Linked DNA regions of Sus scrofa. The protein of the gene in region 1 purifies or fractionates together with the protein of each later gene. This does not show direct contact. Links are inferred from orthologs where the notes say so. Each region holds a gene or a part of one and is shown in the gene's direction. Other genes may lie near its edges.

Evidence for each region. The genes of interacting proteins can lie anywhere in the genome.
Region 2: the proteins of ACBD6 (region 1) and NMT1 purify together in Homo sapiens (co-immunoprecipitation; 3 studies listed by BioGRID and IntAct, with this or other methods). This does not show direct contact. The link is inferred for Sus scrofa from reciprocal best matches to the Homo sapiens genes ACBD6 and NMT1.

The regions. Positions count from the first base shown.
Region 1 is NC_010451.4:122,112,988-122,116,736, reverse strand, and holds the start of ACBD6 (acyl-CoA-binding domain-containing protein 6), read left to right. Parts: upstream 1-939; 5' UTR 940-1,263; coding exon 1,264-1,485; intron 1,486-3,749. UniProt on the Homo sapiens protein: Binds long-chain acyl-coenzyme A molecules with a strong preference for unsaturated C18:1-CoA, lower affinity for unsaturated C20:4-CoA, and very weak affinity for saturated C16:0-CoA. Does not bind fatty acids. Plays a role in protein N-myristoylation.
Region 2 is NC_010454.4:18,320,331-18,323,979, reverse strand, and holds part of NMT1 (glycylpeptide N-tetradecanoyltransferase 1), read left to right. Parts: intron 1-2,174; coding exon 2,175-2,319; intron 2,320-3,649.

The DNA.
Region 1 (3,749 bases):
CATTCATGTGCTGAAAACCACGCTTCTACAGAGCCGTACCTCAGAGCTACTGAGAGGCTGACTCCTCGACTTTGGTCCTCGGTTTGGCTCAAACAAAACATTCTTCTATTATTTTCTTTTGGGGCTGCCACAAGGCAGGTGGAGGTTCTCCAGCCGGGGATCAAACCCAAGCCATAGCAGTGACCACGTGGGGTCCTTTACCCGCTGAGCCACCTGGGAAACCCTATTCTTACTATAGATCATTATTTCTGTTAACATTATTATAATCATATTGTAGTTTTTGCAGGTTTCTAACATAGGGCAGAACTAAGCGTATTTCTGGTTTCACTGTCAGTGACTGCCACAGCACAGCGGCAAAGACTGAGCTGGGAACAAGCAAATCAGGCTAAGGGCCACGGGGGTGGGGTCCCATGAGCTCTGCCAGGTGTGGGTTCTGCAAGTCGTGCAAAGCAACACATGAAGAGATTTGACCAATCTCACAGTTTGGGTGCTGAAGGTCCCATCTCCCATATTTTCATTCACTCTACAAGTTAGAACCAATCCCTCCAGCAAGAGAATGCCGACATTCGACGTCCGCTTTGGGACACTGAGGCTACACAATCTGGGGAGGCGGGCGCAGGCGGAACCTTCGTGCTCAGCTCCAAGTTTCCCACGACTCCGCTCCTATCGCTACACTACCAAATAGACGGCCTCCTTCCCCACCCGCCGATGGCCTAGCCCGAGAATGGGTTCCGGTATTTTCAGCAAAACGATTAACGGACATCTGAACGACTCAGGGCACTTTCTCCAAGCAGCGTTTCCCTAGCTCACCGCAAGAGTCCCTTAATTTACTGGAGGGTGCCCAACCCAGAGCTACCCACGTTTCCCTCTCCCAGCGTGTAACAGGGGGCCGGCCGTAGCCCTGGGCGCGTGCTCGGCACTCACGTCGCCCCGCCCCCGCCCCGCCCCCTACCGGCCCCCGTCCCGCCCTCTTTCCGGGACCTCGAGGCCTGTGGCCAGCGGACCCCCAGCGCTGCTGGAGAGACCCCGGATGAGTCCGAGGTCCTGGGTAGCTAGGAGAGGCCGGAGGAGACCTGGGCCGCAGGGGTTAGCCGCAGAGGGTGGCGGAGCCAGCCCTGCACGCGCCGGGCGGAAAAAGGGAGGGAGATAGAGTTAAGGGAGGGAGCGCGGAGTAAGTGAGCTTGGGTCCGACTCAGGGAGGGGACTGGTGGGCCAGGCCCCCAAGACGGCGTTACACCCGGTCTGAAGAAGACAGGCGGACACATGGCCTCGCCATTCCTGCCTTCGGGGGCTACCACGGGCGACAGCGGCGGAGAGCTGAGCTCGGGGGACGACTCCGGGGATGCGGAATCCCTCCAGAGCCCCGAGACCGAGGCGTCCAGGAGCCTGACCGAGCTGTTTGAGAAGGCGGCCGCGCACCTCCAAGGCCTGGTTCAGGTGGCCAGCAGGGAGCAGCTCTTGTACCTGTATGCCAGGTACAAGCAGGTAAAGTCACGAGGAAGGGGTGGATGCGGGTGAACGACCAAAGGCCTCTCTTTTCTCCAAAATCTAATGGTAAATGAGCTTGGTTAATGGCCAGGTGTAGTGAAGTTTTGTGTGTATGTTCTGTTTTTTAATCATCTGCTAAGGATTTGCATCATTCAACAAGCTTGGTTAATGGCCAGGTGTAATGAAGTTTATGTGGGTGCTTTGTTTTTTAATTATCTGTTAAGGATTTGCATCATTCTGGACATGGAAAGGACCTGTCTGCTATCTGAGAAGTGATATTTAGCTGGCTACTGAATGACAGTTTTTCTGTGTCTTCTCTGACTTGCCCAGTGACCTTGCACTTAAGCTTTCACCAGCTTCAGAACCTTTACAAAAATGGGCAAAACACTTGGGGTTTTATGCCTGTGGGGAATGCGGAGAAGCAAAAGCATCATGATACTTGCCATCAAGAGACTTTACAAAGTTAATTGAGGAGTCTAGATTTAAACGGGTGAAAAATTGCTGACTAGAGTTAAATAACAGTTTAGGAAAACTCTAGCTCTTTGGAACACTGGAAGTGATGAAGCTCTGGAGGATAGCCCATTTTCTTTTATAAAAATTTTTTTTGCCTCTTGGTATCTGTTTCCCCTGGGTTTGTTTTGTTTTTGTTTTTTTCTTTTTAGGTCTGCACCCAAGGCATGTGGAGGTTCCCAGGCTAGGGGGCAAATCGGAGCTACAGCTGTTGGCCTACACCACAGACACAACCAACATGGGATCTGAGCCTTGTCTGTGACCTGCACCACAGCTCACAGCAACACCGGATCCTTAACCCAGTGAGCTAGGCCAGGAATCGAACCCTCATCCTCATGGATACTGGTTGGGTTCGTAACCCATTGAGCCACAAGGGGAACTCCCTCCTCTGTATTCTTTAAAAAAAAAACAAAAAAAACAAAAAAAAAGAAAGCTGTGGGCTCCCTCTGTTTTCTTAAACTGAATATAATAGGGTAGATATGAACCTTCTTTTGAAGGTCAATGAGTATCAGTTGTAAAGTGACCTGAGGGATGCAGCTCTAGGAACAAATGGTATAAATTAGAGTGTTGAGTGAAAATTGCCCCTAAATTGGCCTCAGAATTTGTCTTCTTGCAAAAGTTCTGGATATCTTTTGTGGGGGTGGGGTGGGGAGGTTTAATCCTGTCCTTATAACAATGAAATGAGACTTTTAATTATTTAACAAGAATTGATTGTGCATTGTGTTTGGACCAGTAATGTGGCTGACTGATGATTCTCTGGGCATTGTAAGACTCATTTCCTCCAAATTTCATAGAAAGGTTTTTATATCTTTATGTTTTCTGTTCAGAATAGCACTCTATTTTGTCAGTAGGAAGTTGATAAAAATAAGCTGAGCTGTGAACCTTGTTTTCTCCTGCAGGGCCCTAAATGTACCTAACATAATAGCTCTTTTAGTCTTAGATAAGTGTATGGCTCCACAGTCATCTTTCAGTGAAGTTTCAAAAAGATCACACCAATTAACAGGGTTTTTTTGGTCCTCCGTGTATTAGCCTGCACTCTTCCAGCAAACAAGAATGAATTGACATTTGTGAAAATGAGAGGACAATGAAAATTTCAAACCCCTGTTGAGGAGCCTTCAGCACTAGCACAAGTGGGGATACCTAGCATGTCCTCTTACCTTAACTTGGGCACACGTGATTCACTGGCATTTACCATTGGCAACCTTTGTTGAAATATTCTGGATGGATGAGATCTTTGTAGACATAAAGGGTTCTTAGAATTTGAACCTTGAGTGGGACTTTAAGGAGGTAGAGCATTTTAAAAAGCCGAGGGAAGAGAGAAAGGCTTTTCAGGTGGGAGAAATAACATGAGCGAAACAGGATAAAAATTCTTTGGCGTTCCCGTCGTGATGCAGCGAAAACGAATCTAACCAGGGTTCGATCCCTGGCCTCAGTGGGTTAAGGATCCGGCGTTGCCATGAGCTGTGGTGTAGGTCGCTGACGCAGCTGGGATCTGATGTGGCTGTGGTGTAGGCTGGCAGCTGTAGCTCCGACGTGACCCCTGCCTAGCCTGGGAACCTCCATATTCCGCGGGTGTGGCCCTAAAAAGCAAAAACTAACAAACAAACAAACAAAATTCCTAAGGCAGTGAGTAGACCATTTGATTTTAGCAAAATGCAAGTAAGAGTCATAGGAGGTAGTGGGCAGGTCCCTTAGAAGTAAATTCGGTTCAGATTGTGGTATTTAGCTTTACGGAAAGTAGGTATTTTGTT
Region 2 (3,649 bases), on another chromosome or scaffold:
CAAAAAGACAAAAAAAGAAAAAAAAAAACCAAACACAGCAAGAAGAAGAATATGAAAATCACACATAGTCCTACTTCCCAGGAATAAGCCATGTAAATATGTTGGTTTCTGTTATTCCTTTCCTTTGCAATGTAAACGAAAGGGAAAAAAAAGCAGTGAAGGAAAAGTATTAGAAGTTATGGGTATTTGTATAATCTTAAGCCTGACATAAGATCCAGAAGCCATAAAAGAAAAAGCGGCACATTTCAGACTTTTTGTAAAAGTCAGAAAGGCAGACAACAAACTGGGCAAACATTTCCAGTACATGAATCAATCGGTTTAAAATAATGAAATGATGAAATGAGTAGACCATTCACAAAGAAGAAGTAAAGGTTTTTATATGGAAGGATGGTTAAACTTAAAATGGAAGAGTTCCTCTACGGCTCAATTGGTTAAGGATCCGGCGTTGTCGATGCTGTGGCTCGGGTCACGTGGTGCGGGTCTAATTCCTGCTCAGAAACTGCCACATGCTGGGGGCATGGCCAAAAAGAAAAAATAAAGCACTGTTTTTTTCCTCCTAGATTGGCAGAGGTTAAGATTTGGTGAATTTAATGATAAGAGTCTAGGGAAACACACTCCCATCCACTCTTCATCGGGTTATTAACTGATATTCTCTTTTTATTTTATTATTTATTTAGCGTGCACACATGTGTACACATACAAGGGATGTGAAAGTTCCCAGGCCAGGGATTGAACCCGTGCCATAGCAGTGACAATGCCAGACACTTAACCCACTGAGCTACCAAGGAACTCCAATATATTCATTCTCTCTTGTTCTCGCTTGCTCTCTCTTTTTTTTTTTTTAGGTTGTACCTATGGCACATGGAAGTCCCAGGCCAGGGATTGAATCCAAGCCATAGCTGTAGCAACACCAGATCCTTTGACCCACTGTGCTAGGCTGGGGGTTGAACTTGTAACTCAGCCTTGACCCGAGAAGCTGCAATCGGATTCTTAACCCACTGTGCCACAGTGGGAATTTTCCAATATTCTCTTTTTAAAGAGCAAGTTGACAGTATATATAATCTCAAATATGTATCTCCTTTGACCCAGCAAGCCTCCTTTCTTAGGCTTTATCCTGAAAAAATATGTATTCAGTGAGCAGAATTAGGTGTAGAAGGAAGTTCATTACAGCGTTGTCTGTAAAACTGAAGCCCAAGGTCACCAAGATGCCCGTTGGTAGGGGGTGGCCAGATATGTGGTGGTCTGTGCACCAAGGGCTCAGTCATTGGAATGGGCAGGTCCATGCAACTGCGTGGAAAGGTCTCTAAGACAGTGTTTGAAGAACAGTCTGTAAGATAATACTATATGATCCAGTTTGAGTTTTTAAAAATTGTGTGTGTGTTTGGAACTTGCATGCACAAAAGTCTGAAATTATATTTGCTTCTTCTCACCCTACTTTCCAAATTTAAGCCTGGTTTTTATTTTTCGTTCCTGGCTCTTTAGGGCCGCATGTGGGGCATATGGAAGTTCCTAGGCTAGGGGTCAAATTGGAGCTGTAGTTGCGGGCCTATACCACAGCCACAGCAGGGCTGGATCCAAGTGGCGTCTGTGACCTGCACCATATCTCACGGCAACGTCGGATCCTTAACTCAATGAGCGAGGCCAGGGATCGAACCTATGTCCTCATGGATACTAGTGGGTTCATTACCTCTGAGCCATAACAGGAACTCCCAAAATTTAAGACTGTTGATGACAGGGATTATATTTGAGAGATGGGATTGTTGGTTTTTTTAAACCTTCCCAAGGTTTGGTTTTGTTTTGTTTCCCCCCTCCGCCACAGCATGCGGAAGTTCTGGGGCCAGGGTTTGAACCTACCCCACAGCAGTGATGGCCCCTGATTTTTAACCCACAGAGCCACCAGGGAAGTCCCCTTCTATATATGTATTTACGCTGATGCGTTGTTTGAAATTTAACGCCGAGCATGTCTTACTCTGCCATCAGACATCATAGACTAAGAAGAGAAACCCTCTAGGAAGCACCAACCCATCATTGCTCATCATCAACCATGCTCTTTCCAATTGTCATACGATAGGTCACCTCTGGGGAACCACACCCCCTTAACTCTTGGACTTGAATTTATCAGAAGTGCTTATTAATATAACGGGCCTTTTCTCTCCCAACTTTGTTTTGTTCAGATGAACTCTTTGCCAGCAGAGAGGATCCAGGAAATACAGAAGGCCATAGAACTTTTTTCAGTGGGTCAGGGACCTGCAAAAACCATGGAGGAGGCTAGCAAGCGAAGCTACCAGTTCTGGGACACGCAGCCCGTCCCCAAACTGGGTATGTATGTGCTTTCCTCTCCAGGCGAGGGCGAGGGATCTAAGGCTTCCAGGCTGATTTTGTGAGGGAGCACAGGAGAGTCCTGGAGTTCTTTGGTGGTTGTTTTTAGAGGATCGTCTTTGCAGTGCAGTGTAGAGAAGACTGTTGTTCAGGGACCTTGTCTTTGCACAGTGACACACATTGAGAACAGATAATGGTCCTTTTAGTCCTTATCATCCAGTATAAATCTGCAGAGATAACGGCGTGCTGGCACATCATGAGTGGGGCTGTGTGCCCAGGGGTCTCTCTTCCCACGGTAGGTTTTATAGAGAGACTGTCTTGTTTATCTGGGCAGACGTTTGAGGTGACGTGGGGCCGAGTCCCCAGCCTCTTCCCCTGTCTCTCAGGCAGTGGGTGCTTAACAGTGATGGTTTAACACCTGGGATACCACATGCAGGTTTGGTCAACACCAAGGGGTGGGACAGGCAGAATATAGAAGGATTCCAGAAGAGACTGGACAGAGCAGTGTTAGAGATGCCTGCTGAGACCAAGCCATGGCTCGCCCTGATGGCTGACTTCAGAGGCTGCTATGGACAGAAAGTTTTTGGAGTGGTTGCATCATGATTCTGGATCCATTGATAACCCAACTCCTATTTTCTACGTGACTGGGAAAGCAGGTACATTGAAAAAACCGTGTGTTTTAACAGCAAACGTAAGTGACCTTCAGGCTGTCCATGTTACTGCTCCCGTCCAGAAACACGGTGAAATGTGACAGTGTGTTGGGTGGGGAGGAGGGGGTGAGGGCAGGATGAACGCCTGGTGAGGGGAGAGGGGCACCTGGGTCCAGGGAGATTGAGCTATGCCGCCTGTGCTCCTCCCACCAGCAGGACAGGCATTGCTTAGGAGCTTGTAGAAAGGCACAATCTCAAGCGCCAGTTCTGCAGAATTGGAACTTGGTGGGGAATTCGTGTCCACTTTGAAAGTTTGATAAGCTCTGCTCTGGAGCAGATGTAGGCTAAGCTGAATCACGATCCAAAGCAGGCTGGGATGCGCCCTCCACGTGGTGGGAAGCAGAGCAGTACGTGGATGTTATGAGTGGTGAATCGGCAGTAGGCACTGTTCTGGAACCCTGCCCTGCCCTGTCCATTGCGTCTGTCAGGCTGCCCAGGTCAGCCAGCTCCCAGGACGTGGCTAAGACCTCCTCAAGGCCTTGGGTCACAGTAACACCATTACCAGGGCATTGCACGTAGCAGGTCCCAGTGACCGCGCCCCACCAGGAAGCAGGAGGAGTCAAGAGCCCCATGCTCTGCCTCTGAGTGAACTGCTCCTAGAGGCATTCTGGGGCAGCTAC